Drosophila melanogaster: one gene and its partners. The protein of the gene in region 2 interacts with the protein of the main gene of each other region in a pairwise test. Each region holds a gene or a part of one and is shown on either strand. Other genes may lie near its edges.

Region 1 (10,233 bases), 7.4 Mb from region 2:
CTTTGAAGTTTTAATTAACACGGAATTCAAACAAATAATCAATTATTATAAAGATATTTTTAAGTGAATAAAATTTTAATTATTGCTTAAGCATATTAATCACTGTGCTTGGCGCTTTTGTAACGGTTTTACGATGTATATCGCAATGACCACTTCCACTGACACGAAAAATAACGAAATCAGTGTGACCGTTTTCCACCGTACGAGAACGTAAGAAATCGGCGTCGCGTGGCTTGGACAGAGATTATCGAACAAAACAAAATCCGACTACAGAATCTTTTAACTTCGTTTACCCTTAAGAGTCCGCGGTGGATCCGAGGAATCGATGGCTACGGACACGGTGTCCAACGGCGAGAACTTCGCCCAGCACTTGAGCAGAAACAGCGACGACGACGTGATCTGTCCCACATGCGACGTGAAGATCAAGCGCAGTCAGGTGGCCGATCACTGCCAAGTGGAGATGGAGCGATTGCACAATCCCATTAGCGCTGTCACTCCACCGACCCCAACTAGCGGAGCAACCGCGTCCGAGGAATCCGGTTCGGTATCGGGGGGCAGACAACCGTGGAGCGTGTTCCAGCGGGTGCAGCGCAATCGGCAGGCCCGTCAGCGCCAGCGCACCAGGAAGCGTCCGGCTTCTCCTGCCCCACCAGCAACTGTAAATCCTACGGTAGCAGCTGCTCCTCCTCCAGCTGCAGCAACTCCGTCCGTAGCTGCTGCCGAATCGAGCCAACCCACCTGTCCCGTGTGCAACCACAACTTTCCGCAGTCCAACATCCAAGAGCATGTTAATCATTGCCTGCGCCAGAGCCGCCGCAATGGTCAGGCCAATGGTGAGCGGCATTCGAGTGAGGACTCGGAGGACAGCGAGGAATATGAAGAGTACGAGTGGGCGGGACAGAAGCGCATTCGCGTCTCCACTCTCGTGCAAGGAGGCTATTCCGCCCTGGGCCTGGGCCAGAGAATCAAATACAATGGCAGTCAGCAGGCGCAGGACGACGAGGACGAAGATCTCAACGTGGACGAGGATGACACTCACATCTATGGTCCTACGCAGTATGGCGAGGGCGATGTGATCCCACTGGTCAACGAGGACACAGAGGGAAATGTTTCCGAGGCGGATGTTACCAGCTACGTGCGCCGACTTATCTCCTCCAGCGATGGGCCCAAGCCAAACCATTCCAGCGAAGCCACCGAGCAAGAGCCTGCCAGCACAAGCAACGTGGAGGCTCCACCAGCCAGCGAGGAGCCGTCTACGTCGCGGTCCACGCGATCCACCTCCCAAAACCAGCAGCAGATCATCGAATCGCTGAAGGCCAAGCTGCGGCTCTACGAAAAGCAGGCGCAGGGCAAGTACAAGTGCCTGATCTGCATCGACGACTACAAGAATCCCGCCATCTCCGTGTCCTGCTGGCACGTCCACTGCGAGCAGTGTTGGTTGCAGACGCTCGGCGCGCGAAAGCTGTGCCCGCAGTGCAACTCGATTACCACGCCGAAGGACCTGCGACGAATCTACCTGTAGACGTCCATCACAGACTTGTTATCCCCGCTGCCAAATTGCTTGCGCCATAAAACAGGCTTTGCATCCCGACGCAGCTTTAGATGATAATCCCCTATACATATTATTTATATAGATTACAAATACCAATTATACTACGTGACATTACAATAAGCCTACCATGTAACTATTGCAATAAACCGCAGAAAACATAATTAATATTTAAGTTTATTTAACGAAATTAGCATGTAGGAAGGGAAAAGCGTTTAAAGACATGCAAACAAGTTATTTTAAATACCTTATTTTGAACTAAAATAAAAAAGCAATCAATCCAATATTATATCCAATATTATTTTCGAATCACAAAAATGATAAATTATTCCACTATAATTTACAAATGTTTCATTTTAAGTAATAAATAAATATTTTTTACTGTGTACCGGTTTGTTTTCATGTTCAGTTATCGATAATATAATGTTTGCGTTAGTGATGAGCAAGTTTTGCCTGGTAGCGGTTCCTCACGCGCTCATCTCTATATCACATTGCTTGGTTTTCTGTTTAATTTTTCCACAATGTCCGGCTCCGGTGGGATTTAATTGGAAAAAGGAGTATTTGATCTGTACGCTAATCCTGTCTTCCTTGCAGGCGCCAATCCCTTTGCCCAGTTCCAGGAGTCATTCACCCAGGACGGCAACGTCTACAAGTATTTTGATCTGCCCTCCATCGACAGCAAATATGGTTGGTAATCGTTATTGTTGTTCGTTATCATTATTGTTGTTATCTTTATGAATATTATTAACCCCCCACAGAGTCACTGCCCTTTTCCATTCGCGTTCTGCTGGAATCAGCGGTGCGCAACTGTGACAACTTTCATGTGCTGGAGAAGGATGTGCAGAGCATCCTGGGATGGACTCCATCGCTGAAGCAGGAAACCAGCGATGTGGAAGTCTCCTTCAAGCCAGCTCGTGTTATATTGCAGGTGTGGATTATTGCATCACATAGATTATGTTTGTATGTGACTTCTTAAGATATTCCCTGCTTTCAGGACTTTACTGGCGTTCCCGCCGTCGTGGATTTTGCTGCCATGCGGGATGCTGTCCGCGAGCTGGGCGGCAATCCTGAGAAAATCAATCCCATCTGCCCTGCCGACCTGGTCATCGACCATTCCGTTCAGGTGGATTTCGTTCGCTCCTCGGACGCATTGACCAAGAACGAGTCACTAGAGTTCCAGCGCAACAAGGAACGATTCACCTTCCTCAAATGGGGAGCTCGCGCTTTTGACAATATGCTAATTGTGCCACCCGGCTCTGGCATTGTGCACCAGGTTAACCTGGAGTATCTGGCCCGAGTGGTTTTCGAAAGCGACAGTTCAGCGGACGGATCTAAGATCCTTTATCCGGATAGCGTTGTGGGCACTGACTCCCACACTACAATGATCAATGGATTAGGTGTTCTCGGCTGGGGTGTTGGCGGTATCGAGGCGGAGGCCGTAATGTTGGGCCAGTCCATTTCCATGCTGTTGCCAGAGGTGATTGGCTACAGGCTGGAGGGCAAACTGGGCCCTCTGGCCACATCCACCGATCTGGTGCTGACCATTACCAAGCATTTGCGTCAGCTTGGTGTCGTCGGCAAGTTCGTGGAGTTTTACGGCCCCGGAGTGGCAGAGCTCAGCATCGCGGATCGCGCCACCATCAGCAACATGTGTCCGGAATATGGAGCCACTGTGGGTTACTTCCCAATCGATGAAAACACGCTGAGTTACATGCGCCAAACCAGTGAGTCAATCTTAAAAATTATCTAAATTTATTACTTGATATCCATGGATGTGGATCATTAGATCGCTCCGAGAAGAAAATCGATATTATCCGGAAGTATTTGAAGGCCACTCGACAACTTCGTGACTATTCCCTTGTGGATCAGGATCCCCAATACACGGAGGTAAGTGAGATTCTGTTTTTCCAATGCAAAGACATACTAACGAATCACTTTTTTACCCTGCAGTCTGTAACTTTGGACTTATCCACCGTGGTGACCTCGGTTTCGGGGCCCAAGCGACCGCACGATCGCGTTTCAGTTTCCAGCATGTGCGAAGACTTCAAGTCGTGCCTCATAAGTCCTGTCGGCTTCAAGGGATTCGCCATACCACCGAGTGCATTGGCTGCAAGTGGTGAATTCCAATGGGACGATGGGAAGAGCTATAAGATAGGTCATGGATCTGTTGTGATTGCCGCCATCACCTCGTGCACGAACACTTCGAATCCCTCGGTGATGTTGGGCGCTGGTCTGCTGGCCAAGAATGCCGTGCAGAAGGGCTTGAGTATTTTGCCGTATATCAAGACCTCATTGTCACCAGGATCTGGCGTGGTTACCTACTATCTGAGGGAATCCGGTGTGATTCCCTATCTGGAGCAGCTGGGCTTCGACATTGTGGGCTATGGCTGTATGACCTGCATTGGCAACTCGGGCCCGCTCGATGAGAACGTAGTGAACACCATCGAGAAGAACGGACTGGTTTGCTGTGGCGTCCTGTCGGGCAATCGCAATTTCGAGGGTCGCATCCATCCCAATACTAGGGCCAATTATCTGGCCAGTCCGCTGCTGGTGATTGCCTACGCGATTGCCGGCCGTGTGGATATTGATTTCGAGATCGAACCGCTGGGCGTGGATTCCAACGGCAAGGAGGTGTTCCTGCGCGATATCTGGCCAACGCGCAGTGAGATTCAGGAGGTAGAGCATAAGCACGTCATTCCCGCCATGTTCCAGGAGGTGTACAGTGAGTATAGCTAGCTGACTAAGATTTTTCCGCAGCTCTAGGCTAACTGTGTCCGCTATCACAGGCAAAATTCAACTGGGATCCAGGGACTGGCAAACGTTGGAGGTGTCGGATAGCAAGTTGTATCCATGGAGTGAAATATCAACATACATCAAACTACCACCGTTCTTCGAGGGTATGACTCGTGCGCTGCCCAAACTTAAAGGTATCGAGAAGGCTCGCTGTCTGCTGCTTCTCGGTGATTCAGTGACCACCGATCATATCTCGCCAGCCGGATCCATTGCACGAAAGTCACCGGCAGCGCGCTATTTGTCGGAAAGGGGTCTAACGCCGCGCGACTTTAATTCGTATGGATCCAGACGTGGCAATGATGCGGTGATGGCACGCGGAACCTTTGCCAACATCCGTCTGGTCAATAAACTGGCATCCAAGACGGGACCCAGCACACTGCACGTGCCCAGTGGCGAGGAGATGGACATCTTCGATGCGGCGGAACGGTATGCGAGCGAAGGAACACCTTTGGTTCTGGTCGTAGGCAAGGACTACGGCAGTGGCAGCTCACGTGATTGGGCCGCCAAGGGGCCATTTCTGCTGGGCATCAAGGCGGTGATTGCTGAATCGTACGAGCGCATTCACCGCTCAAATCTGGTGGGCATGGGCATCATTCCGCTGCAGTTCTTGCCTGGCCAGAGCGCCGATACCCTGAAACTGAGTGGCAGGGAGGTGTACAACATTGTCCTGCCCGAGGGCGAACTGAAGCCGGGCCAGAGGATTCAGGTCGATGCTGATGGCAATGTCTTTGAGACCACGTTGCGTTTCGACACCGAGGTGGACATAACGTACTACAAGAATGGCGGCATTTTGAACTATATGATACGCAAAATGCTGGATTAGTTAGTGCGTTCGTTGACTTTTATATTCCATATGCATTTCTAGGCGACTTTTAATTGTTATTATGTGCTGGGAAATAAAATTTGACATTCATCTGTGAGATGATAATTATTAAAAAAAAAATATTTCAAATATTTTATAATATTTTAAATTGCGCGCTCTGGATGTTATCGATAGCAGAAATGCCGATGGCCAAACCAGTCCTGCTAAAAATGCCTAACGCCTGCTGGTGAATCATCGACAAGGCAGCAATAAAATCGAATAGTCCCTGTTATATCGCTGTTAACTTAACATAGTTCGCTGCTTCTTTTTTTGTCCGTCCCGTGGACTTTTCTCCAGAGGATTTTGATTCCAATTCGCAAAAGAAAAACATAAATAAGCAACAGATCGTGTGTTGGCCAATAGCTCTGCAGCCAGTGCTCGATATTCACTTGGAAGAACCGCGCAAAAACGCAACAACGCAGCAGGAAAGTCGCGCCTCCGCCTCCCCACCAAAAAAAAAAAACACAAAAAAAAAGAAAAGATCTCGGATCGCACAGGGTTTTATTTTGGGCAACCGCACTTGGACTGGTGGGTGCTTCGGTTCCCTCGACCTGTGGATAGTGCCCAGTGGCGTCGCGTCGCTTTGGATTATGTCATTTGTTTATGGGGAATTGCCGCAGGCCCAGTAGCCAATGTTGCATCCGAAAGAGGCAGCGAAAACCTGTAAAAATGTAGACTGTGTGCGTGTGTGTGTGGGCCAGTGCTAGTGTGTGTCCGTGTGCCGTGTGTGTCCACGTGTGTTTGTGTGTGCGGATAATGGACGTTTAGTTTTTGGTCGAATCCGCAAGATATATAGTGAAATAGGTATAGGCTAGAGATCCCAGGGAGCGGTAGCCATACATATATGTGCACAGCCACCGCTACCCGATGGCCACGTTTAATCCTGGCGCCAGCAGCAGTGCCGCCGACGTTCTGAGCGCCACCACAGCAACGGCTACTTTTCTGGTGCCCACCACTGCGGCAGTATCGCATCCTGGTGCCCATACCGCCCATCTGCAGCTGGATCAATTCGGAGGCTTCTCCGCGGCGACGGCCACTCCCCTGCAGCACCATCACCATCAGCAGACCAACTCGTCGTACACTTTTGTGCAGATCAAGAGGGAACCCTGCCAGGTGTCCGAAATAAGCTCGAACAATTGCCACCAGCAACAGCAGCAACATCACCAACACCACCAGCACCAGGTGCAGCATCAGGGCCTGTCTTCCGCCTCGATGACCGCCTCCTCCAAGACCATGTCCTCCTCCACACTGACCACTCTCGTCAAAATAGAGGCTCCCTCGCCAAAGGTATCGGAATTGGAAAAGTCCACAGGTAGGTGACACCCAGCCACTGGTCAAGAGCACTCCTCATCGGTTAATTACGATTCTATCAGGCAACTCCGTTCCCATTGGCATCGCCGTGGCCAGGAAACGCCCGCAAGAAGCTCTGGTGCCGGCTATCAACACCCCCGCTACGCTGCCGCTGCAGCCACCACTCAACAAGGACTTGAACTGCTTCGGCATACGCGTCGCTGACCTCGGTGAGTGCCAAGCTACACAGAGAGAAATGCAGCTTCATCTCATGGAAATAATAAGTTCTTAGTGATATTCAAGGGGATGTAAACTGTTTTAAGGTATCTGCTATCTTTGAGATACCAAATGATTTACTTAAAGAATCATTAGATATTTCTAGATGCTGTTTTCCATTTGTGTTAAATGATATGTAAATTTAAGACAATCACTGTCTTGTGCCATACATTTTTTCCATCCGTGTAACTTCTGGGCATCTAATTCAATTGAGTCACCAGATTTGAGCGCCCCTAATGAACGGCGCTTCCCAAGGGACAACGTTATATGATGCTTATGATGCCAGGACGTGGACGTCGTTCAATTATGCCACTAATAAGATTGCCAACAAACGTTCAGCGCTGTGCGGAATTCCATCAGTGAGCAATGGCCGAGGGTGTCGTCTCCGCCTTAAACAACCCGCTGGAGTTTAGAGGGCAGGAATCATATGATGGCCGCCTGTTGTGCGGCTGTCGTTGTTGTGACAGCCACCGAATCGACTGGATTCGACTCAAAACGGCTCATCCCCATATCCATCCTCCCTTGCGGGCAGAAGGAAACCCGGTGGTAAATCATACGAACTTCTAAAGCGGAAGTGAAACGAAAGTGAAACACATTGCGATTTGAGAAGGGAGGCTTTGCGTCGCCTTGGCTCTGGTCGACTTGAAATTGCTCTTTAGATGGGCACATAAATATGTTTATATTTTTTTGGGGGTGTGTTTTGTCGCCGTAGCCAGTCGAATTACATTTTCCGGATTATTTTTAAAGTCTGCTAATGGTGAAATAATCAACCATGCCCATGACACGAACATGAACTTTATGATCTTGGATGGGTTACTTTTTCATATCAATCTATTTACAAAATAGTACCAGATGTGCCATAGCCTTAATCAAAGAGCAAGAGTACAGGAAACTGTGTACTTTGTTTTAATCACTACATGGAATTTCATGTTATTCTTTAAATGATAACGTCTATAAATGGTTAGAGCAATATGATGGCAGGGAAATGAATCATTACACTTAACTAAATGAATATATAATTTGTATTGCTTTGACTTTACAAAGTTGCACTTATTTTTTGTTATTTTTACCTGGAATCTCCATTTACTCATTTATTATTATCAACTCTGATAAAATTGAAGTCACAAGCTACTTTTTGCGGGGGTTTTTATTTTTATATATCTATTAAACTAGAAGTTCAACGCTGCTATAAAAATCCAATGCAAAAACAGATTGAAATTTTGTTTTTATATCTATTCTGGGTATTTCCCAGAAGTTCTCTTTTAGTAAGAAACTCTGACAGAACAGCTCATTCTCGATTGAGGGTGTTTATTTTCATGCATCAAATACGTTTTCCTTTTAGATTTTTAGAATGACTTCAGAAAATACATATTTTTAGCGGGTTCTAGTGCTTTTGAGTGCAGAAAAAAACCCTTATAAAGTAGGCGCATTACTTATGGTTCGGCAATGAGCAGAGTATCGAGGGCTTCGGCTTAGTTAGCATGCTCCAATGGAGCTGAAGCTAAAGTTCCAGTTGCGTGGGCGCCATTCAGAGGAACATCAGAGCGGGAATCCAAAGACAGATTACTCATGGACTCATGGTGCTCGGGTGGGTTGTTTTTTCAGACTTCAGACAAGGTAGCAGCGGTGGCTGTTGCTAGAAGTAGTCTGGAATCTGTGTGTGTGTGTGTGTGTGTGTGTGTGGGGGAACCAGGAACAAGTAAGGCATCACCTATAAGGGATGCTCGAGCTGGATGCTCGGATGCATGAGTGGTTCTCCGGGGATGGGAAACTAAAGGGGAACTGGGTAACAAACCGGGCGAATCATCCTCCAGGACACAGGACCTAGCAACATGACACGCCGAATTGGATTCAGTAGACGACCATATGGAAGAGTCTTCCTAACGTGCCGCTGGTTATTATTTTTTTTTTTTTTCCTTTCCTTGCCACAAGTCACATGCTATTTATAAACGTTTGCCTGGGTAGTTTCTCGGTCCGAAACAAATCACTTGTCAAAAGATGTAGCTCTAATTGCGTTTGCGGAGATGGGACACTGTCGAATACTTGTCATTCATTTCGATTCGAGTGCGGTGGTGGGTTTCCCAATTCAGAACCCATAATGTAATCCAATTACAGGGCATCACGTACGTTTTAATCGAATTTTTGTAGAAATTATCCAGCCACAGTGTCGGAAGGGGGTGGGTTATTCGAAACGATTGGGATGTGTGATAGTTGCCTGGTTGGCGTAGTGGTGGGCGGTTGGGTGGTTTGGGCGCACGCGGTCACCAAATGCATAGTTCAAGGACATTGCAATATTTCACGTATACATACACATCTTCGCTTACAACTTACAAGTTACACGGCAGGCCCGAAACTTTATTAAACAAACGAACGCCAAACGAATAGGTTGGCATATCTCTTCCCAGAATTCAATTTGAGAATCAATGGTTAAGGAAAAAAAAGCGCCCAAAATTCAACGAATCCTTTTTGCTTTTTACTTTCAGGTGCCACCAGTTGCGGCAATTTGTACTTTACTGGCAACGGCGACCTGATGACCACCGGCACAGCCACCGCCGAGGAACTGGCTCTGAGTGCAGCGGGTGTGAACCGGGCACCCTCCACTTTCTGGCAGTATCCAAGTGAGTTGTCCACGTTTAGAGCATGCTACAAGTAGATCCCCGGCAGAAATTGATAAATGCAAAATGTGAAAAAAAAATGAACAATCAGTGCTCACCGTCACACTCTGTCTCCACCTCTCTATTTTGGTTCTCTCTCTTTTCCGTTGCGTTTTGTAGATGCATTACCCATTGAATCAGTGATTTCCATGTCGCCCGCCACGGTGGGCCTGCAGTACTCGCGGGAGGCCAGTCGCGGACAGGTGGTGCTGCTGCCGGCCGGCCCAACAGCGCTCGGTAAGTGAGCCGAGATGATCGGCGACGATCTCCGCCATTCGCACTCCGCATGCCAGCACACCGGGACACCTACCTACCTAGGTGTTCTCGGTTAATTTGATTTCGAAACTTCGATACGCCAAAATAAAACTAATTCATGCTTTTAAACTGCGCTTCTCTCCCACCGCCACTCCCCCGACAACTCCAAACTCCAAAACTTCAAACTCCCGAAAACACCCGAACTTGAAACTCCGACTTAACTGAATCGCTACCACGACCATGCACAGCAGGCATATCAAATTTTCCCCTCTTAACGCCCACAGATCCGTTCCAGCAGGCAGCGGCTGCGGCGGCCTTCGTCTGGCCCTCGGCCTACATCCCCCAGGCGCCGGCACCTGGTGGTCACTCTGCTGCGGCAGCCGCCGCAGCTGCTTCGCTGCAGCCGACGCCCAACTTGTCCAGTTTGCCCAACTTCATCTTTCCCTCGATGGGCGGCCACCAGGCGCTGAGCACAACGCCTTCGTACGCGTCCACCCTGCAGCTGTATCTGGCCGCTGCGGCCACTGCGACGGGCAGCTCGACGATGTGCCAGC
Region 2 (10,233 bases):
CTTCGACTTGTGAGGAATGACTTTCTGAATGCGGTTAACTAAGAAAGTAACTTAGGCGATTTTCTAGTTCCTCCCCGGGCAATATAAACATGGAATAATCATTCATATTTCAACTTCTATCTTAAAGATAACAGCTTTTAAAATATCAACCGTTCTCTATATATTTCTTTTTAAAAGCTAAAAACAAAAGTTTTTTTTTTTAAACTCGAAATGACTCTTTCTTTTTTTTTCATAAGATGAACATATCTGCCAGCTTCCATATACCATAATGTAAATTATGTAAATAATGACTGGCGCTTTAAGTGGGTAATTTAACACACCACTTAACGATTTAATAACTATTTTATGGCCAACGTCGCGAGAAGAGCGAGGAGAAATGGAAATTCAATTCGAGTTCAGTTTACAAGAAAGTCCATTTGGCCAAGAGAGCAACAGACCCACATGTCGAACGCGGCCTTAACTCACTTATTGATGGTCAAAACGGCGAGCTGCCCACATCTACAATTCATATCTGGAAATCACCCTGAGGATGTGTATATATGCCATATATATACAGATAACTGAACTTTCATTATTCATTGCTTTGACAATTAGCGCGGATGCTAAAGATGTTGCAATGAAGGCCTCGATTTGCGGATCGTGATCCATCTCCGATGAAGTGGTGACGCACTTCGGACTTGGTTATTTCGGCCCAGCATCCATGGGGTTTCCCAAGAGTATGAGAAATCGGTGGAAAAAACTGAAGACTACTTTGCATATCCGCCAAAAATGTAGTGAACTTCAGCGCGATTCGCTGAAGGGCAAAGAAATTCGGTTTTGTGCATCATTGAAAGCAAACATCAAACATATAATTTTTTTTTAGCAAAGTTTTTATAAATTTTTTTATACTTTTTTTGTGGGTGTTTTTTTGTTTGTTTGTGGTGTAATTGTAAGATATAAACTGAAAGTAAAGCAGGCAGCGCGATCTTAAAATTTTAAATTTAGCCCCGTCTCTTTCCTGGGCACTCTCTCTAGCTCTCTCGCTCTTATTGCCTGACTGCAAGCGCTTCTTAATATTTTTAAACATTGATTTTAAAAATACAAAATTCGTGTTCTTGTTTTCGTTTTGTTTACTTTATACATTCTGCTACTTTTGACTTTAGATAATTTTATTTTTTATAAAACAAAAGAATTTCCATTTGCTTTCTATGCTCGTTGGCTTTGTTGCTGTTGTTGATCTGTTTGTTGTTGTTATTTATTTATTATGAAATATATAGATTTATAAAGAATTGCATACACAATGGTTGTTGTTCTTGGTATCTGCGGCCGCCGATCTTCGTGTTGGCCAAATCAATTTGAGATATTCGTTTACAATTAGTAGAGTTCTCCATCTCGTCGTCGTCTCCATCTTCCTCCGCTGCTGGTGTGGATTTGGTATAATGGGACTGTTGGCCAACTTAGTAGCCAGCCAATTCGGCGAATGTGGAGTCCATCTCGTCGGCCAGGGACTTGTACCTGTCCTTGTTGATGCCCAACTCGTCTGCGGAGTGCAAATGGTGGTTGGAAATGCGTTAGAAAATATTCAAAAATATGGTTTTTTAACATTGGAATTGAAACGAAAAACACTCAAACTTTACACCATGTGTACCAAGTTTATGGAGTTATTGATTAGGATTAGTGGCGCGCTGTTCTGGCAGGCGTTTCTATCTTTTGATCTTTTGGGTTAGTCAGCGGTTCTGTGCGTGGGTTTTCAGGGGAGGTGGGGGACAGGACTATCTATGGGGTGCTCTACGGGATGTGGACATGATCTATCCAACCAATCGTTGCAGCAATCCTTGAGAGAATCCCTCGACCAAGGCCTGGGCGAAATTGGCTCGAACGAAAGCCACTGATGATCGACGAGACGATAGAGAGAGAGAGAGAGAGAGAGACATAGAGACATAGACTGAGATAGAGTGCGAAGGCGAGACGGGTCAAGAGGTCATGCCACATCACAACGGGTAAGAATCTGGCATACAAACAACAATATTTACATTGATAAATTCACCTGTATTAACTACAGTTGCAACTTGGTTTGGCTTGATCTGAACTTATTTTTACAGTGTACTGGCGTAGGGAACTGGTCGTGTGGGTGTGGCCACATTCAAGCGGGACTAAACAGATTATTTACAGTGTATAGATAAGTGTGGCGTGTTGGGCTGGGTGGTAAATACACTGAAACTGTTGGGGGAATCGTTCCAAAAATATAATATAGAATATATATATATATATATAATAAACTGTGTGGGATTCGGGATGTACTGAGAGTGTTCCTTTTTTTGGGGGAGTTGGGCAAGGGGCGGTTGGGGGGGGGGGGAGGCAAGGGCATTGTGTGAGTTCTGTTTGTGATCTTTTTTAATATCCAGTAAGTTCGGCAAATGTCTGGTCCAAATCGTCGCAGATTGCTTTGTATTTTTCCTTCTCATTGAAGAGACGGTCTGCAAAAAGCATTTGTTTGTTGTTCATTTATACAAATATATATATAGAGAGATATTCAAAAAAAAGGGCGAGCGAGCGAGATGTGTGAATGTGGAACGTCAATTAATGAAAGCAGAGTACTAAGTACAATTATTAATATCCTTATGGCGATAAATACAATGCGAGCATTAGTTGAAGCCAGCGATCCGGCCGTTCGAGGCGGATCACTTCCGGTGGACAGCATCTCCGGTGTCCCGTGGAGAGATACCTCCGCGGAAAATGGCTGAGTGAATGTGCCAGGGGCGTAGGAAGTTGGATACATACCCTCTAGCCTGTCGACCTCCTTCTGCAGGCGCTTCACTTGCTTCTCGGCGTGCTCGGCGCGCTGCTCGGCCTCCTTCAACTTGATGGACAGGGTCTTCATCTCGCGCTTGAACTCCTCCACGCGCTGGTTGGCCTTCTCCTCGGACACCTCCAGGGACTTCAGGGAGTTGCCGACAACCTAGTTGGGAATACACCATGAATAGTGGTTTGAGAACAGAAGGATTTCTCTTGAGGACCCACCTTCAGCTCCTCCTCCAGCTCCATGATCTTGGACTCGCCGGAGCGGACACGATCCTCAGCCACCTCCAGCTCGTCTTCAACGAAGGCCAGCTTGCGGGAGACCTCGTCGGACTTGGTATCGGCATCCTCAGCCAGCATGCGGGCCTCCTTCAACTGGTTGGTCAGCTGGTCCATGCGCTCCTCATCCTGCTGGGAACGGTTCTCCAGCACCTTGCACATGCGGTTGTTCTCATCGGCCGACTGGGTGGCCTCCAGCAGCTTCTGTTGGGCGGTGGTCGAGCGCTCCTCGGACTTCTCCAGATCCTCCTCAATCTGTTGCACCTTGCGGTTCTGGGTGGCCACCTCGGACTCGGTGGCGGTCAGGAGTTTCTCCTTCTCCTCCAGCTCGGTGTTGGCCTTCTCCAGCTGCTCCTTGGCGGTAACCAGATCGATCTCCACCTGGACGAACTTCTTCTCCAGATCGCGCACCTCCTCGTTCAGTTTGTCGGCGCGGGAGTTGGCATCCTTGGCTTGGTTCTCGCAGGTGTCGGCCTTGTCAATGGCGTTATCCTTCTCAAGCTTCATCGCTTGCATCTTCTTCTTGATGGCGTCCATGGTGTTTGTGTTTTTGTTTTTGACTTACAAGGGAAGAAAACTGGAAAAAAGCACTGTGCCAAATAATACAAATGAGTAAGCTGAATAACTGAATCCTTAATGTGCAATTTTTAAGGAGCAATTTTCATAAGGCATAGAATATTATATATACTATAATATAATAATAATAATATTATATAATTAATAAAATGTATGACTTTTTTATTTAAATCTAATTGTAGCTTTGAACCGCTTAATAATATATTATAACATATATACGTTGGTCCTAAGATATTCCAATGTTTATTTCCTTTCATAAATTACAGATTTTTTGAACTTGGATTTTTCTTTTGACTATACATTTTTGTTTCTTTACTGTGACTTCTAGAATTTTTATGTTTCCGCTGCAAGACAAAATCGGTTTATTTAAACGATCCAGGCGCATTCTATAGGTTATCCATAGGTATAATTAAATTGTATATATCTATATGCTGTGCATATGTGTTCGTGCAATAAATTTGAGAATTAAATGTAAACACATTTTGTTTGGCGGCTACGCCGAGCATTCTCAAAAGATCTCACGTAATTTTCATTTTCCATTTTCAAAACGCCCACTCAAAATCCGAATCCGGATCCGTCGGTGAGCTATATGTTTATATGTTTATTTGCTGCACGATTCGGTGGGGTTAAAAATAAACTTTATATGCTTTTGCATGTGAGAAAAAAATATCCAGTCCACTCGCACACACACGCATAGGAGAAATGCTTTTTTGGACATTGTGTGCTAAATGTAATTCTAGAGTTTCCCCCTATTATTTCGAAATACCCCACATATATATGTACATAGCTCGCCACCGATTGCAATTTGAAAAGTATTCAATTCTTTGGGGTCATTTGGTGTGTGGGCGTATTCGTATTCGAATTCGTGTATCTATGTTGCTACCACCCAAAGTGGGGCAAAGTCATTTATGTTGTAGTTGCTGATCTTTTGGAGGTCTTGCGATACTCATGTGTGTTTTGTACCCAAAAAAACATAAGCAATGTTTAATATGTGATTTATGAGGTAAAAAGGATTTCTTTCTAAAGACTTTAAATAACTTATAATATGTTAAATAGCTACTTAGTTTTCACATCATTAAAATTTTTGGTGATTGCCAAAGGTACTTGGGCTTTCAATCAGTTCGAATATGTATCTTAAAGATGGCAAATTTTGCGGCCTTCGGACGCATTCACGAATGGCTAGAAATATTCGCTCTGAAATCTACAATTCTGTGTGGGTGGCTATGCCTTGAATATATATATTCCCAGATAGATACCATATGTATCCGCATCTGGGAATCGTCTACGTCTCTAATATTTTCCAAAATATCTCTCTCGAAAACAATCTCAAGGATAAATACCTATAGTTCTCGACTGCCTTCGTTTTCTGAGATCACAGAAAGCTAGACGGAAAAGCTTTTTCGTATAAATTTCAGGCAGAGTTAAAAATAAATGCGTATGTCTGTGTGTGTGTGACAGGCAGGTGTCTGTCTGCAGTTAATTTTAAAGAATTTTCTTCGAGGAAAACTTTATCGGTCGAGTGTGATTGTGTGTGTGAAAATTGTGCGTGCCATAAGTGTGTAAGGTGCATATGTATATGTGTCCCATTCGTGTAGAGCTTTCCGAATGAAGCTCATGTGTGTGTGTGCAAAAAAAAATTCTCTCACACACACACAGATATTTATTGGATGGTATTGGTGCCGTCAGATTTAGTTACAAAATTCCTTATAAGCGAATTTTGAAAATATCCGAAAAATGATCATAAGATCTCCATTTTCAAGTAGTTTAGATCGTTCATTTTAAGTTTTTTAGAGATATTCATTTTTTTAGTTATAGCAATTTTCACTTCCATTACATTTGGATCACTCATTTAACTTTTTGTAGAACTTTATATCCAGGCTAATTGACACATATACATATGCACATTTTATTTAAGTTTAACAAGGTTTTCCTTTTTTTTCCCGTTTGGGGAAAATTCAAAATTTATAATTTTGAATGCCATGCACTTATCACAATTTTGTTATCCACTCGAAATCCAGTTGAAAATACCAATTTGGTTAGCAGCAAAGGCGAGCGATTTAATTATATTTATTTTGAGTTAATTCTTGTCGGGTGAAAATCCTGGCGTGACCAACCTTAGCGTTTCAAACACACTATACGCTGTCGAAACCCCGAGAACACTGATGCTGACCAAGTTGCTTAGCCCAGAAAGCGACCCCAAGATCCAACGCACACGCACACTGCCACTCGGAAAATCGGAAAAACTCACACACACTGAGGGCACACACCAACGCGGTATTGAATAATTTCTCGCCTCAAAAATTTCCCATTAATAAATGTATATGTGGAATGGCGCTTTCGCAACTTTGCTCGGCGATCTCGAAAATTTCCCTCGAAATTTCCCCCAAAAGCTGCTTCATACGATGCTCTCTCTTTTGGGCTGCATTCTCGTGAAATTTATGCGCTTTTCTTTCTGCTTCTTAAATCTAAATTCAATTTATATTTTACTCACAGCACTCTCGCTGTCTGTGTGTGTGCGTGTATCCGTCAGATACACGGCCAAAAATAGCCACAAGCAGCAAGAGCAAAAGTCCAACAAGATGAAAATCTATTTTCGCTCGGTAAAAAAATATTGAGAAATATTTGGAATTTTGATCGGCCAGCGTTTTCCTGCCGTTCTTTTGCTTTCGAAAGTCTCGAATGCAAGGCAATTGATCCGATTTTCTTGTGTGTTAATTGTCCCCGTTCGATTTTTTGCTAAAACAAAACCACTTAACTTACTATATAACTGAAGAATAAAATCTATAATTTATTTATTTTAATAACCAATTAAGTAACGATATGGAAAAATTGTTATCAAAACTCTAAACTAAGAAATTCTATAGATATATGTATATTTTTATATAGGTATATTTAAAAGATAAATATATATGGTGGGTTTTATTTATATGTCCGACCTCGCTAAATCCATTTAGCAATTCATCTCAAAATCCAGTTCAATTTTCTTCTTCTTTCAATATTTCTGTGACGTAACATCTTCTTTAATACTATTATATATCAAGAAGATTCCACCAAATGTCTCATAGTCTCTGGATTACACTTATATGTACTCCCGATCTTTTTATTCTCGTTCAGCAATAAATTTTACTTAAAAGCCAAACCTACATAAGTCAATAATATTGTGCACTTTATTTATAGACTTTTATAACTTCAAATTTTAGTTGATTTATAGCTCTTCTTGATTTAGGAAAATGTTTGAAACTTCATATTTTCAAAACTGTTCAAAAACAACTAATTGGCGAGCAAACGTATTCAGTTTTCAAATTCGATTTTTCAAAACCCTTCTTCTTTAAGCTTATTTTAAACTTTTTTTATATATGTAGCTCCAAAGAATATTTAATGTTGAGTTAAAATATCACACATGTGACAAATATGGTTATTCCAACACAAATAAAAACATCCTATAAGTTTTGGGATATAAGCATGATTTGATTTTGATTTCAATATTAACTTTTAATAAGGATACACAATATTCCGGCAGATTGAAACCAACAGGACACTTTATGTCCTTTATATTCGATTCATGATCAGTGCATATTTTTATTATTTAACTAATGCAACCCACCGTTTAAATAAAAAATCCATGAAATTTTTTATATGCAAAAGAATGATTTCAGTTTATTGATCGTAAAAATATTGAGTTGAAAAAGAAAAATACATACATTGTTATATTTGTTTTGCACGCTTCATAGAATTACAAAAGCTATGACAAATGTGTAAATTTAATTTATATGTCTTCGTTTATATATTCTAATAATATATCTCCTATTCTTGTTGTTTAAACATATACAAAGGCCATAGAAATTTTGTAGATACACTTCGCGAACTGCCATAAAAACACACAAGCAACAGAAAGTTGAGAAAAATTGACTCTGGCTTAAGCGTAACTGAGTTTTTTATTTGAAGATGCTGATTAACGATATTGAGTGGTGGGCTTTCTGGGGTTTTGTATTCAAAATATTACACATACTTTTTCGAGCTGGAATTTTAGTTTCAAGGAAAATGGCAGCGTTTCTTTTCGTTACACAACTCGTTTTAACTTTAGGCTCCATATAAATTTCAATAGTAATTGCTAAAAATGTATTTTTTACTTTATTGTAAAACTCTTGCTCTTATGTAAGAAAGTTGTTTTTTTTTTGGGAATGCTTAGGCGAAGAAGTGTTATGCTAAAAATAATTTGTAATTCGGACGTCGAATGCGTTCGGACTCCATTTGTCTTCATCATAGTGATTGCTGCTCATCTCCCCATGAAGTGGATTTCATTCCCTTAGTAGTTGTTGAGATCGGCGTACTCCAGTTCCTGGGCGATGGTTTTGTACTTTTCCTTACCTTTGCTCACCTCGTCTGCAGCAGGTGGAATAAACAAAATAAATGTGACAAGTTTATAGGGATTTATGTTTTTAAGTTGATTGCTTTATTGCTTAGTTTGGATACAAATAATAAATAAAAAACGTTTGAGTCAAACAAATACACAATTACATCGATGCTTCCCTCTAATTGGTCCGCGATCAAAATCAATCTACAAACTATCCATCTACGAACACACAAATCAAAAGTGCAGGCTACTAGATACAAGTACAGTGGGCCTACGATTATGCGACTACAGTAACAAACAATCGAAAGGTGTGCCGCCCAAAAATATAGCTGTGCGGATCGATTTTGGTCTGGGTGCGAGGGTCCGTCAAGGTCGGGTTGTCGCTTATTCCTTGAGGATGAGCTCGACGAAGGCGGTGTCGAGATCGTCTCCGATGTCCTTGTAGCGCTCCTTCTCCAGGACGAGGTCGTCTGTTCAAGTTGTTGTTTGGGAAATCATAAAAGAACGCAAGAGTAAGGAACGAAAATTAATAAAAATAAATTCATTGAAAATCATTAAAATTACACTTAAAACCTGACACAAACTGAGACCTTTACACAAAAAACTTATAACTTAAAAAATAACCAATGATAGTTACCTCGGTTTCGGATAAAATAAATAAATAATAGCCAGCAGTTGAGTTCGCAAAGTTGTGCTAGCTGTGTGGTTAAAGGAAATCAAAAAGTTTGCAAGAACAGAAAATAAAAGCAGCATTTCGTTTTTATAATGCTTTGGCTAACTGAATGTTTAATTCAATTTCGTTTTGAGTTATTTCAAAAATAAAAAACGTGCTCTTAACTAGGTTTTTTAAAAGCAGGGCAGCATGTGGTAGCAGTGGTTTTCTCTTTCGTCGAAGTGCAGCAGCGATTTCTGGCGCGGATGTGGCGAGCTGGTCCTAAGCTGGGGGAGCCTCGCCTTCAGCAGCAGCTGGAGCCGCTTCGGCGGGCGCTGCTTCAGCTGGAGGAGCTTCGGCGGCGGTGGCTTCGGCTGCAGGTGCTTCAGCTGGAGCAGCCTCGGCAGCTGGAGCCGCTGCATCAGCTGGAGCTGCGGCAGCCTCGGCTGGAGGAGCGGCGCCATCAGCAGGAGGAGCAGCGCCTTCAGCAGCAGGAGCAGCACCCTCAGCTGGCGGAGCAGCACCGTCAGCTGGAGGAACAGCGCCTTCTGCGGGTGGAGCAGCACCCTCAGCCGGAGGAGCAGCACCCTCCGCCGCCGGAGCAGCCTCTCCTTCAGCGGCTGGCACTGGCTCTGGCTCGGATCCGGGTGGTGGTGGCTCGTAGTTCTTGACATAGGGCACCTCGGCACCCTCTGGGGGCAGATCGATCGAGTACTCGAATGGCGGTGGTGGTGGTGGCGGAGGAGTGGGCTCCTTGGGCGGAGTGGGTTCCTTGGCCGGTGCCTTTTCCTCTCCGGGTGCAGCGGGCGCACCATCTGGTCCGGCTTCGCCAGCCGCTGCAGCTGCTTCTGCGGCTTCCGCTTCTGCAGCTGCGGCAGCTTCGGCCGCAGCTCGTGCCTCCTCCATGGCGGCCAGTTCTTCTGGCGTGGGCGTCGGGAGCTTGGGAGTCGGCGGCTTAGGGTTGCGCGGATTCCAGAACGGCTCCAGACCCTTAATGAGGTCCACGAAGGCCTCGTCCAGGCTGTCGCCAATCATGCAATAGCGCTCTTTTTCAACGATTAGGTCGTCTGGTTATGGCGATTCAGGATCGGTATGCGAAGATGTTTGTGAGAAAAGCAATACAAGCGATGGTGACGGGGGATAGAGTATAGAGAAAAATAAAATAAAACGTGAAACGGAATAGAAGCGTAAATTGAAAATTAAACTGAATAATCTTGGGTGGGAAACAGAGGGATTCGATGGCGGGTAGGAGTTGCAAGCGAAGGGGCTCACAAGGCGCGAAACACCAAAATGACATTCTCGTGGGAAAAGAACACTTCAAATTATATACACCGTAGCTTATTTACATTTTCGGATTATCAATTAATATTTCGGGAGTTTGGGGCTTGAATAGTTAGTGAGAAGGAAAACACTTTGGCCAGTTCTTGAACGCCGAGATCCTTCTAGAGATCCTTTCATCTATTTTCACTGATCGCAATAAAACATGTTCGGGGTTTCTAAGCAGGTGGTGCTTCAGCAGCAGGAGCCGCCTCGGCAGGTGGTGCTTCGCCCTCGGCTGGTGCCGGAGCAGCCTCTCCCTCAGCCGGCGGTGGTG
Region 3 (10,233 bases), 3.7 Mb from region 2:
AGTATAAAGCCACTTTTCCAGAATAGACCAGCTATTTTTATTAACTATTCTACCACGTCGCTGTACTCCTTAGCTATCAGACGGTGCGCAAGAGACTTCTCGTGCGCTGTAAGTTGGTGCTTAAGCCGAAATTCTTTTTTACACATAAGACACTTGTGAGACTTTTCAGACGAATGCAGGTAGTAGTGAGCGTTACGAGAGGAGGACAGAGAGAATGTTTTTCCACATATGTTGCAAGCATAGGGTCTTTCATTCGTGTGCAAACTGAAATGAAGAAATTCAACATTGGAACTTAAATGCTGTACACAATATATATAGTTTTTGTCCATTCTACCGTTCGTGCTTGCGATGAGTGCTGTTGTCGGCAAAACGGCGCGAACAGTAGCAACATTGGTAAGGTTTCTCGCCCGTGTGCGTCCGCATGTGTGTTTTCAGGTTGCAGGCGGCTCTGAATGTCTTTTGGCAAACCCTGAATCATACATTTTATATATGAAATATTATGTTAAGATATATCACGGATACTTACTCGCACTGGTGGTCCTTTTCCTTGCGGTGCACCTGCGAGTGTGCATTTAGCTGAGATAAGCAGCGGTATGTATTGCTGCAGATCTTGCATCTGTACTTGTCCGGCTCGCAGGCCACTCCTAGATCTATCACGTAGTCGGCACTTGGCTCTAGATTATGGTAATCCTCGCTTGTCTCTTGAATACTGTCCGTAGCAGCGCTGCTTTCTTGCGAATACGTTTCGGAGTAATTTTGATCGGAGATCTCCCTGTCCAAATCCATATCACTGATGGTATAGTCCTCCTGGTGTATGTCTTTCTCGTTTTCCGCATTCACGTTGAGATCGAACACGAAATCGCTTGAAAATTTATTTATGGGTAAGATTTCATCATCTTTGGTCGTTTCCAATGCATTCTCTTGAGTCTTAAAGTTAATAGGATTCTCTTCGATGAGTCTCCCCGAAATGTTCTGCTTCCTGGCGCGTTTTTTCTGTTCAAGCTGGTCCTTATCCTCCAGCGTCTCAAATGCCGATGCGGAGGACAGAGTTTGACGAACGAGGCTTCTCAGGTGCGCGTCGGATTGTTTGCACGCGCTAAGAAATCTGTCCACCTCCTCCAGTTGCATCAAGCAGACTGTGCAAATTTGATCCGGCAGTCCATCATCCGGTTTCACCTAGGAGAGAGGATTTGTAACTGGTAAACTGGAAGCCAAACAGAAATCGAGTACTCACAGATGTGCCGGCATACGAGATCAACAGCTTGTGGGCATTGGACTCGAAGAGCGACTGCAGCGTGGATTGCGTTCCTTTTTTGCGGCAAGTGCGGCACATGCTCCATTTAATGCTGATTTCCATCGTTATTTCCGCAGGAAGTCCCTCTTTCGCGTCAAATGCCGATTCAAATGCCAGAGCAGTGAATTAAAAGTAAAAGGGTTGTCAGGTACGCGGAATTAGTAACAGTTTTCAACTATCATTCCAAATTTTTTTGCATTTAGTTCTAAAACTGTATTTTTATTGCGTGACTCAAGCTTAAATATTTAATAGGGCCCACCTGTTAGTTTAAAAAAAAAAATTAAGATTTAATTATTATCAATTATTCAATCGATATGCCGATAGCAAGTTCGATAGCCATTTATCGTTTTGCGTACATGACAACCCTGGGAAAAGTTCCAAGACGCTTGTTTATTTCAGAATTGCAAGCATACGTACGTCCAGGACGTGCAAGATAATGCCCGAGTACATGTTGTGCCGAATCTGCTTGACAGAGGACATCAACTCGGAGGCGATGGCGCCCCTGTTCGATGACAACGACGCCCAGTGCCGGGAGCTGGTGCGCAAGATTGAAGAAGTGGGCAGCATAAAGGTACATGTGGATGCAAATGTAAAATCCTGCGACTTAACCCACTCTGTGCTTTCAGCTGGTGCCGCTGCAGAACATCCCCAGTATGTTGTGCTACAGCTGCGTGGAGCGACTGACCAGTGCCCACAAGTTCCGGGAGCTTTGCCAGGAGAGCGAGCGCACATTTGCCACCAATGTAGTCAAGGTACGTATAGAGTTGATGGGCCACATATAAACATCCCACTTGACCCGGTACCATGTCAGGCCGAGATGAAGTCGGAGCCAACGGACGAGGTGCCGCACGTAGTGGCTGACAACATTGAGTACATCTACGAATCGGCCAACGACTTCATCGACGGTGTCGAGGATGACATCGGAATGGAGAACATCATGGAGGAGCCCCTGGAGGATGGTGTCGGGGAAACGTCGCAGGCCTACGAGACTAGCACTGTAGTGGACGACCTGGACGAGGATGACTTGCTGGTGCCGAATAGCACCGATAGCGACTACCAGCCCATCGAGCGCTGCCGCAAAGCTAAGGTGCGTAAAACGCGGATGACTAAACGTGGACGTGGCCGACCTCGCGGTGCTAGCTCCGGACACCCACGCAGTTTTAGCGAGGAGCGTCCGCCTGTTCAAGCTAGCTTCAAATCATCTCCCGAAGTATCCTCCACGAACATTATGTGCGAAATCTGCGGCAATATCTACTCCAAGCGAGCCGCTCTCAACATTCATATGCGTCGTCATATGGCCGAGAAACCATTTAAATGCGAGTGAGTATCTGAAATTATCATCTGAACCATTTTATATTATGTAAATCTTATTCCGCTTACAGAATATGCAGCAAATCCTTCGCGGGTCCATCCGAGCTAAATCGCCATATCCGCGTTCACACGGGCGAGAAACCATTCTTGTGTAAATATTGCAACCGCTCGTTTGCGGATCGCAGCTCCAATATTCGTCATGAAAGGTGAAGATGCAATTCCTCATAGTAATCTTCATATAAACTATACTTGTTCCTTTTGCAGAACACACACAAACGAGCGACCTTTCACTTGCTCCACATGCGGCAAGGCATTCTCCTACTCTAACGTGCTAAAAAACCATATGCTCACCCACACGGGCGAGAAGCCTTTTCTGTAGGTCCATTGACTGCTTTAATCATGTATAACCCTAAATTCCCTTTAATTTTTCAGCTGTCGAGTCTGCAATAAGACCTTTTCCCGCAAGCACCAGTTGGATCAGCATTTGGGCACCATGACCCACCAACAGACTGTAATACACCACAAAAACGAACGGACGGGGCGCTATTAGTCGAAAACAATGCAATACAATTTCTGTTAGATAATTCATTAATGTACATTTAATTATATATAAAAATTGTAAAATAAAAAAGAGTACAAATGGTCAGACCGGATGTGTAAAATAATCGGATTTGATTTATTACTATTTGGTTAAAGAACTTGTTCAAAAACACAAATATTTTTTGTAATGTTTTTTATTACGTCCATATATTCGAGAAAAAAATTGGAACACGATTACAATCTTTGATTTTGTGCGTTTATTTGGTAGTTTTAACATCATTTTGGCCATTAAATGAGTGTGCGTTTTTTATTGTTTCTTTTCTTTGTGCTCTGTCGAAGACTTTGTTACCGTTTGTGGAAGCTACAACATGGAATAATAATCGAATGGCACAGGATTAATTAAATCTTCTTTTTTTGGACAAGTAAATATGTTTTGTTTTTTTAGGTTTATAACTTGTAACGTTTTACATCAAAATCTAAAAACGTTTGGAAGTCGGGAGGGATGCGGCTCTTCTTCTATTCCTTAGGGAAACAAAAAGTAAAACCAAATATGCTAGATATTCGCATAAAATGGATTTATGCGAATACCTGTACTTAAATGTACGTCTACCTTGTTAAAGAAAAGGACGCGGAATTTTAGAATTCTTACCGATAGCTAATTAGTGTAATGGCTAGATAGGCAGCTTCATTGTTCAATGGCTAGCTCCGTGAGTTTCTCTTCTTTGCGTTTATGAATATTGCTGGACAGGTGGGTCATCAAATGGGAGATTCGTTTGAAGTGCTTCTGACATACGTAGCAGCTGTAAAATCAAAGTGTGTTGAAACGTGTAATACAAATAATGTGCAGAGTTGGCAGAAATCGAAATGCCCACTAGTGATTCCGCGCATCCACATGGATCATCTTGTGCTTCCTGAGACATCCGGAGCTTACAAAACTCTTTTTGCACGTGTCGCACTCGTAGCGGCGTTCGTTCCGATGGCGGCGATGGTGCTCCTGGCGAGCGCCTGAAGAGGAGAACCGACGTGGACAGTAGACGCACACGTATGGCTGCTCGCCCGTGTGGATACGCGTATGGCTAGTCAGTTCCTTTCGAGTTGCAAAGCTCCTTTCACAATTCCTGAGGAGAAAAATCGTATCTTAGGTGCACTAGCCCAAAGGAGGTTAAGGATAATTTACAAAAAAACACAGTGGAAATTCTTGATGCCTGTGTGCCGGAGCGTGTGCTCTTGAAAGTTTGACTTATTGTTAATGATCCTTCCGCAATCAGGGCATACATATGGACCAGTACCTCCTCCAATTGACTTTTGATGGTTCAAACTAGTCGGTGCTGAGACCTTTTCAGCACTTGGCATTGGAAGATCTTTGACTTCAGGACATAGAATGGACTCGTCCAACTCACTCTCAATTTGGTTATCATCGATGTCTTCGTATATTATTGGATCTGTGGAGCAATCCTTGCTGTCGCACTCAATCCTTTCCAGATTCTGTTTCTCGGCAATGATGCAGCGCTGGCGGAACTTAATGGCTGCCTGCAGATTGTCCAGGCAAGTCGTGCACATTTGGCCGGATATTTCTTTCTTGCAGCTTAGCTGGAAAGTATAAATAGCAAATTAAGTGCCATGATTAAGGAATATTTTTAGACATATTACCTCCACCCCAGTAATGGAGTGAATTTGACGAACTAGATGACCGTTTCCTGGACCAAAAAGGTCTATTGGGGCATCTGATCTAGAGCAAATGCGGCAATTCAGAATTCGCATCTCGACTTTGATTTGTTTTTGAATAATTGTTTACTGTTTACGTTTCGAGCAGCTTATGCGAAATGTGTCGTTAAGCTATTTGCATGGTCACTCTAACTTTTGCACGCATAAACGCTGTTTAGAGTTTTTGCACAGGGATTAGTACCTTATGAAGTAACATAAATACAAATATGTTTTATAATCTCATTTAATAAGAGTACCATAATGGTTTACTGCACTTTTTAAATCATTTAAGTCACACAATGGCATTGCCGCACTTATCGATTTTGTCGATAATAAAACCAGCTGTTGCATCACAATATATATACATACATATGTGTAGTGGATGCGTTTACAAAACAATTGGTTGTTTATATTCGAATTAAACTGAAGTTGGGCTAAACTTCGGTTGATTTTCAACTAACATTATGGCGCTCCAGTGCCGGACCTGCGGCAGCATCATCTACAATAAAATGCCCAAGAATCTCTTTCATATTGAGAACGAGAAGATGCTGCAAGACATAAATCTTGTCACTGGCACAACAGTATGTAAGAAAAATGGTTTCCATTTGATTTGTGCAGCATTTTCTGTGATTGCAGCTCCACAACGATCCAGAGCTGCCCAGCAGCATATGCGCCTGCTGCACGCTTGACTTGAACCAAGCGATTTTGTTCCGGGAGCGGTGCATCCTAACGCAGAAGCAGCTCGTCCATCGTCGTAGATCTCCCGAAGCGAAGGAACCGGCTGAAGATGTTGAGGAGATGGCATCACCGCCGGATTGTCTGAACGATCCATTCGGGGAAGTCGATGAATACATTGTGGAATCCCCAGAAGAAGTTTTGGATCATGATAGTGATGCTCATCATGATCTGGATGAGGATAATTATATTGATTCTGTTGAAGATGTTGATGCGCTTCAAGATATGGCTGAAGTAGCCGAAGAGGATTCTCAAGATGTCGAATCTCTGATCTCAAGTGTACAGAAAGAACTTGAGAGCATTTGCAACGACGACAGCAACTCGGATAACAACGATTACATGGAGCCCCAAAACGGTTCCTATTTCAATGAAACTATAAACGAATATGAAGTATCATCGAACCCAAACACACCGCTGCCCGAATCGAAGAGTGCAGCAGGTCGGTCAACGAAGCCAGCGACCACAAAACCCAAGCGGAAAAAACAGTACGTTACGTGGAAAAATATGACCGAGGAGCAGATCATAGAGCGTAAGCGACTGCAGCGTAAACGCGAGTGTGTTTGCGAACAGTGCGGCCGGCAATTCACCGACCAAAGCAATTTCAAGCTTCACATGCTGCGGCACACGGGCAATAAGAACTTCGCCTGCCAGCAGTGTGGCAAGCGGTTCTACACCGACCATCTCATGACGCTGCACCAACGAATCATTCACCAGGGCGAGAAGCCATACGACTGCCGCTTTTGCACCAAGTCCTTTCACAATAGCAACACTCGCCTCATCCACGAAAGGTAAGGGACGTATCCTTGTATCCACTACGGATTCGGACATTTCTGAGCTCAAACCAAAAAAAATCCTTTCTAGGACTCACACCAATGCCAAACCCTACAGCTGTCATCATTGCGATAAATGTTTTAAGTCAGCTTCGGGACGCAAGCGGCACGAACTAATCCATACAGGAGTGCGAGCCTTTGCGTGAGTATTTTTTGACTAGGCGTTGGTATTCCAAAATTTAATACAATTCCCTTTGCAGCTGCACCATCTGCAAACAATCCTTCCAGCGCAACACTCACTTAAAGGCCCATCTGCGATCTAAATTTCACACTGCAAAAGCGAAAACCATTGGTGCGGAGGTACTACAATTATAAGCTGATATAGTATTTAAATTAAAAAACAAGTATTAGATATAAGAAATAAAGCAATGTTTTCATTTAATTGGAGTGCAAACATTTAAATTGCGATAAAATTTTATTAACCCGATTTAATAATCGACACATGCTGCAGTGCAGCCCTGCCAATAAGTATCCAAGGTGGCAATCCTGACATATTTCAATATAAATTTGGAGTGAAAATAAGAATTTTTATTCAAGTTTACACGTCTGCCCGAAACTTCCAAATACATTTGACGGAGAAAGTATTAAACATTATTTTTTATCTTTAATCGTTTATTTAGCCAAAGGCTTAAAGATTTTGGTATATTTTGGCGCTTCACCAACGGTCACACAGTAACCATTTCCTATGAAATTCACATTGCATTTCTCTTTAGAATTAATAAAACTAAAAAAAGAAAGAAACGAGATTGCACACAATCGTTTACGACGAAGCTTGATTCACCCGCCAAAAGTGTTCCCCTCCGCCCGACTGCACTGTGAGAATACCGGTTGTTGACCTTCGGCAGCATGGAGCGTCGTCGCTTTAACATGAGCAGCATGTCACCCATGGCGGATTCCACGCGGATTGACGCGTCGCTGTTGTAAGACACCACCTGTCCAACTGGATTCTAAGCGGTTACTAATCAAATTTGCTCTCCTTTGTTCAGAAACAATCGTCCGGCGGCCAGTAATTTCCTGAGGGGACTGAGTCCCAAGGGGTCGAATACCTCGCTCAATGGCACACGCACTCCGGAGCGGTCCTTGATGAATCGCTCTGCCACATCGTCCAGTACCATAACGCGACAGAAACTGAACCTCAGTCAGGTTGATCCCAGGTAAGTCAAAGCTTGTGTGCCATTTCACGATGTGACGAAAGTGCAATATCAAATTTTCATACCTTTCAGAACCTTTGCCGATGTGCATAGCAGCGGACTGTCATCCCGGATCGTGGCCTTAAGCGAACGCAGTGGTCTGCAACGCAGCATGTCCGCCAGCAATCTTTACAATCCCTTGACGCAGCCGCGCAGAGCGCCCGCTTCCCCGTTGCCCTACAAGTCAAGGGCGCCGACGCTTTCGATCACGCAGATTGCACCACCGGAGCGCAGCTTTTATTCCGGAAACACGCTGTCAAGCCTGTTGCGATCCAACTCCTTGGTAGGGTTAGTGCCAAAGACCACCGAACAGGAGCAGCTTTCGAGAGAGAATCGACCCATATTGCACCCACCTCATCCACAGCATGAGAGCGAGCCAACTAGAAGCGTGTTGGAGGAGCTTAAGGAGATCTCCCGAAAGCGCATCAACACTGAAGTAAGTATAAGCCATCAATCATCCTATGAGAAGATCACCGGCTTACACTTGGCTTGCTTTCAGGATACGCAACAGGCTCAAGACTACACGAAAAGGAGTTGCCAGCAAAACGTGGACTTTGTGGACTTTGTGGCTCATCACCGTCAGCAACAGAAACTACGTAATTTGCAGCAACAACAGAATCAGTCCTTTAAAAGGCAACGAGAGCTGACGGTATCGGTTCCGCTCAGGCATCATTCGACATCTTTGTCGGCTGCTTCTCCTGCATTGCAACATATGAACTCGAATGGAACCATCTCCCCAACACAATCTCCGGAGCAGGTAGCCAAACGTCCCAATTGTAGCTACAGCAACGACATCACTTCCTCGCTGAGTTCCAGTTGCCGTCACAGCAACAAGAGGAAGCTGTTGGACATGCGAGAAAGGTTTCAGCACAGCAAAAACGACACACTAGCTAGTGGAGGAAGCTCGCCTGAGAACTCGCCCGAAAATGTTGCCAAAATTCAACGTAAAGTTGATGCAGAAGCTGTTAGCAAGGCAATGAGCATGCCCGTCGTGACTGTGGCGGCAGTTCCTGCTTCACGAGCCATTTCGGCTCCTGCCATTCAAAAGGCAGTTCCGCAGGTGACGGAAAAACCTAAGCTTACACTCTTCAATGCGCGACAATCTCAAACGATAGCGGAACAGCCGCGACCCGATTTGAGTAGCCCGGAAGTAGATGCCGGCGAATATGCAGGCATTCAGTTCGTGAAGCCTAAACAGCAGAATTCCATGCTGGCTGCCAAGAACCCTAGCGTAGAACGCACACACAAGACCAAACTAGCCATTATGCTAAGTGGATTGAAGGGCGAACTGTACCTGGGTGAGCCGGACGAACTAGATGCCCCAGCGCCGAAGTCAGCGCCAGCGCCTGTGACGCTTCCTACTCCCGTCAAACCCATCATCATAGCTCCTGTAACCACATCCACTACGACCGTTACGTCCACCGCAACCATATCAACTTCTGCGCCCAGCAAGCCGATAATACTAAGTAACCAGGTTATAAAGCCAGCAGATGTGCCAAATACGAATAGCACTGGCTCAGTGCCCAAACTTGTGCTTGGTCAGCCTGCGCCGCCCGCTAAAACGGAACAAACACCACCAAAACCCATCGACAAGGTCCCGGCAGCACAAGCAGATATCCCACCCAAGTTTGAGCTATCAACCAAACCCGTTACTCCAGCAACATCATCTCAACCACTAATCAGTTTTGGCACACCAAAATCCACAGCAGCACCATCATTCTCGTTTGGAAGTGCGACCAATACCACTAGTAGCACTATTGCTAATATCACCAATACTACCACATCAAAGCCCATATTCTCGTTCGGACAAACGCCTGCCAATGGTCCCACAGTAGGCGGCCTTTCTGGATTCAAAACTGAAGCTCCAGCAACAACTTCGGTTAGCACAACTAATCCTGGGACACAGGTTACATCAACAACTACTTTCGGAGTGACACCACCCAAAACGACGACTACAGTTGCTCCGACTACAACTGTATCGCTAAATTTCGGCCAGCCGATGCCATCATTTGGAGCAGCAGACACGGGGGTGAAACCGATGTTCTCCTTTGGTAAATCGAACAATTTAAGTTCAGGAACTCCGACAACAAATGGCAGCGATGCAGCTGCCGCCAAGCCTGCTGTATTCAGTTTTGGAGGTAGCACCACTCAGCCCGCTGCAGCTGCACCGACACCGGTATTCGGAAGCCTATCGAAACCCCTAGGCGAAGGTTTTGCATCGCCCGGGGCTAACAAATCCGAGACAACTAAGCCGAGCATTTTTGGCAATTTGGACAACGGACTTGGAAACGCAATGAAGTCATCAACTAATGTAGCAGCCACAACCGCCGCCGAGCTTCCCAAGCCATTTGGCTTCGCAGCTACAACAACCGCTGCTGGCGGAGGATCAACTGCCACAAATCTCTTTTCATTTGGAGGGACGGCCACTTCAAAGGCAGCGGAACCAGCTCCAGCTAGCCAAAAAAACCTTTTTGGACTAAATGCAACCACAACTACGCCCTTTGCATTCGGAGGAGCAGCAGCGGGCGCCGCAGATAAAAGTGAAAATAAGGACAACAAACCAATTGCATTTGCATTTGGTGCAGGTAACAACAGTGCGGTAGCCAACCCAAGTGGAGTATTTAGCTTT

The links.
Region 1: the proteins of Tm2 (region 2) and wge interact in a two-hybrid assay, tested with the Drosophila melanogaster proteins (one large-scale study listed by BioGRID).
Region 3: the proteins of Tm2 (region 2) and CG18764 interact in a two-hybrid assay, tested with the Drosophila melanogaster proteins (one large-scale study listed by BioGRID).

What each region holds. Positions count from the first base shown.
Region 1 is NT_033777.3:22,716,362-22,726,594, reverse strand, and holds the start of wge (winged eye), read left to right. Parts: upstream 1-5,444; 5' UTR 5,445-6,071; coding exon 6,072-6,516; intron 6,517-6,577; coding exon 6,578-6,724; intron 6,725-9,253; coding exon 9,254-9,388; intron 9,389-9,544; coding exon 9,545-9,661; intron 9,662-9,927; coding exon of another isoform or gene 9,928-9,930; coding exon 9,931-10,233. Other genes in the region: RNF220 (ring finger protein 220), read left to right, coding at 326-1,522; Irp-1A (iron regulatory protein 1A), read left to right, coding at 2,071-2,083, 2,144-2,236, 2,308-2,477, 2,544-3,273, 3,336-3,436, 3,500-4,271, 4,336-5,165.
Region 2 is NT_033777.3:15,305,814-15,316,046, reverse strand, and holds Tm2 (tropomyosin 2), read right to left. Parts: upstream 5,803-10,233; 5' UTR 5,748-5,802; intron 5,371-5,747; exon of another isoform or gene 4,974-5,370; intron 4,013-4,973; exon of another isoform or gene 3,853-4,012; intron 3,672-3,852; exon of another isoform or gene 3,648-3,671; 5' UTR 3,595-3,647; coding exon 3,001-3,594; intron 2,939-3,000; coding exon 2,761-2,938; intron 2,457-2,760; coding exon 2,374-2,456; 3' UTR 2,027-2,373; intron 1,520-2,026; coding exon of another isoform or gene 1,437-1,519; 3' UTR 850-1,436; downstream 1-849. Other genes in the region: Tm1 (tropomyosin 1), read right to left, coding at 8,372-8,457. UniProt on the Drosophila melanogaster protein: Tropomyosin, in association with the troponin complex, plays a central role in the calcium dependent regulation of muscle contraction. May also regulate motor systems required to maintain nuclear integrity and apico-basal polarity during embryogenesis.
Region 3 is NT_033777.3:11,621,681-11,631,913, forward strand, and holds CG18764 (uncharacterized protein), read left to right. Parts: upstream 1-5,208; 5' UTR 5,209-5,313; coding exon 5,314-5,430; intron 5,431-5,485; coding exon 5,486-6,372; intron 6,373-6,445; coding exon 6,446-6,556; intron 6,557-6,614; coding exon 6,615-6,729; 3' UTR 6,730-6,772; downstream 6,773-10,233. Other genes in the region: Zaf1 (ZAD and architectural function 1), read right to left, coding at 45-264, 335-469, 527-1,176, 1,235-1,357; CG14711 (uncharacterized protein), read left to right, coding at 1,731-1,865, 1,921-2,046, 2,106-2,614, 2,677-2,811, 2,870-2,980, 3,038-3,155; CG6813 (uncharacterized protein), read right to left, coding at 3,831-3,945, 4,018-4,263, 4,323-4,735, 4,796-4,906; CG14712 (uncharacterized protein), read left to right, coding at 7,261-7,334, 7,401-7,568, 7,638-8,040, 8,104-10,233.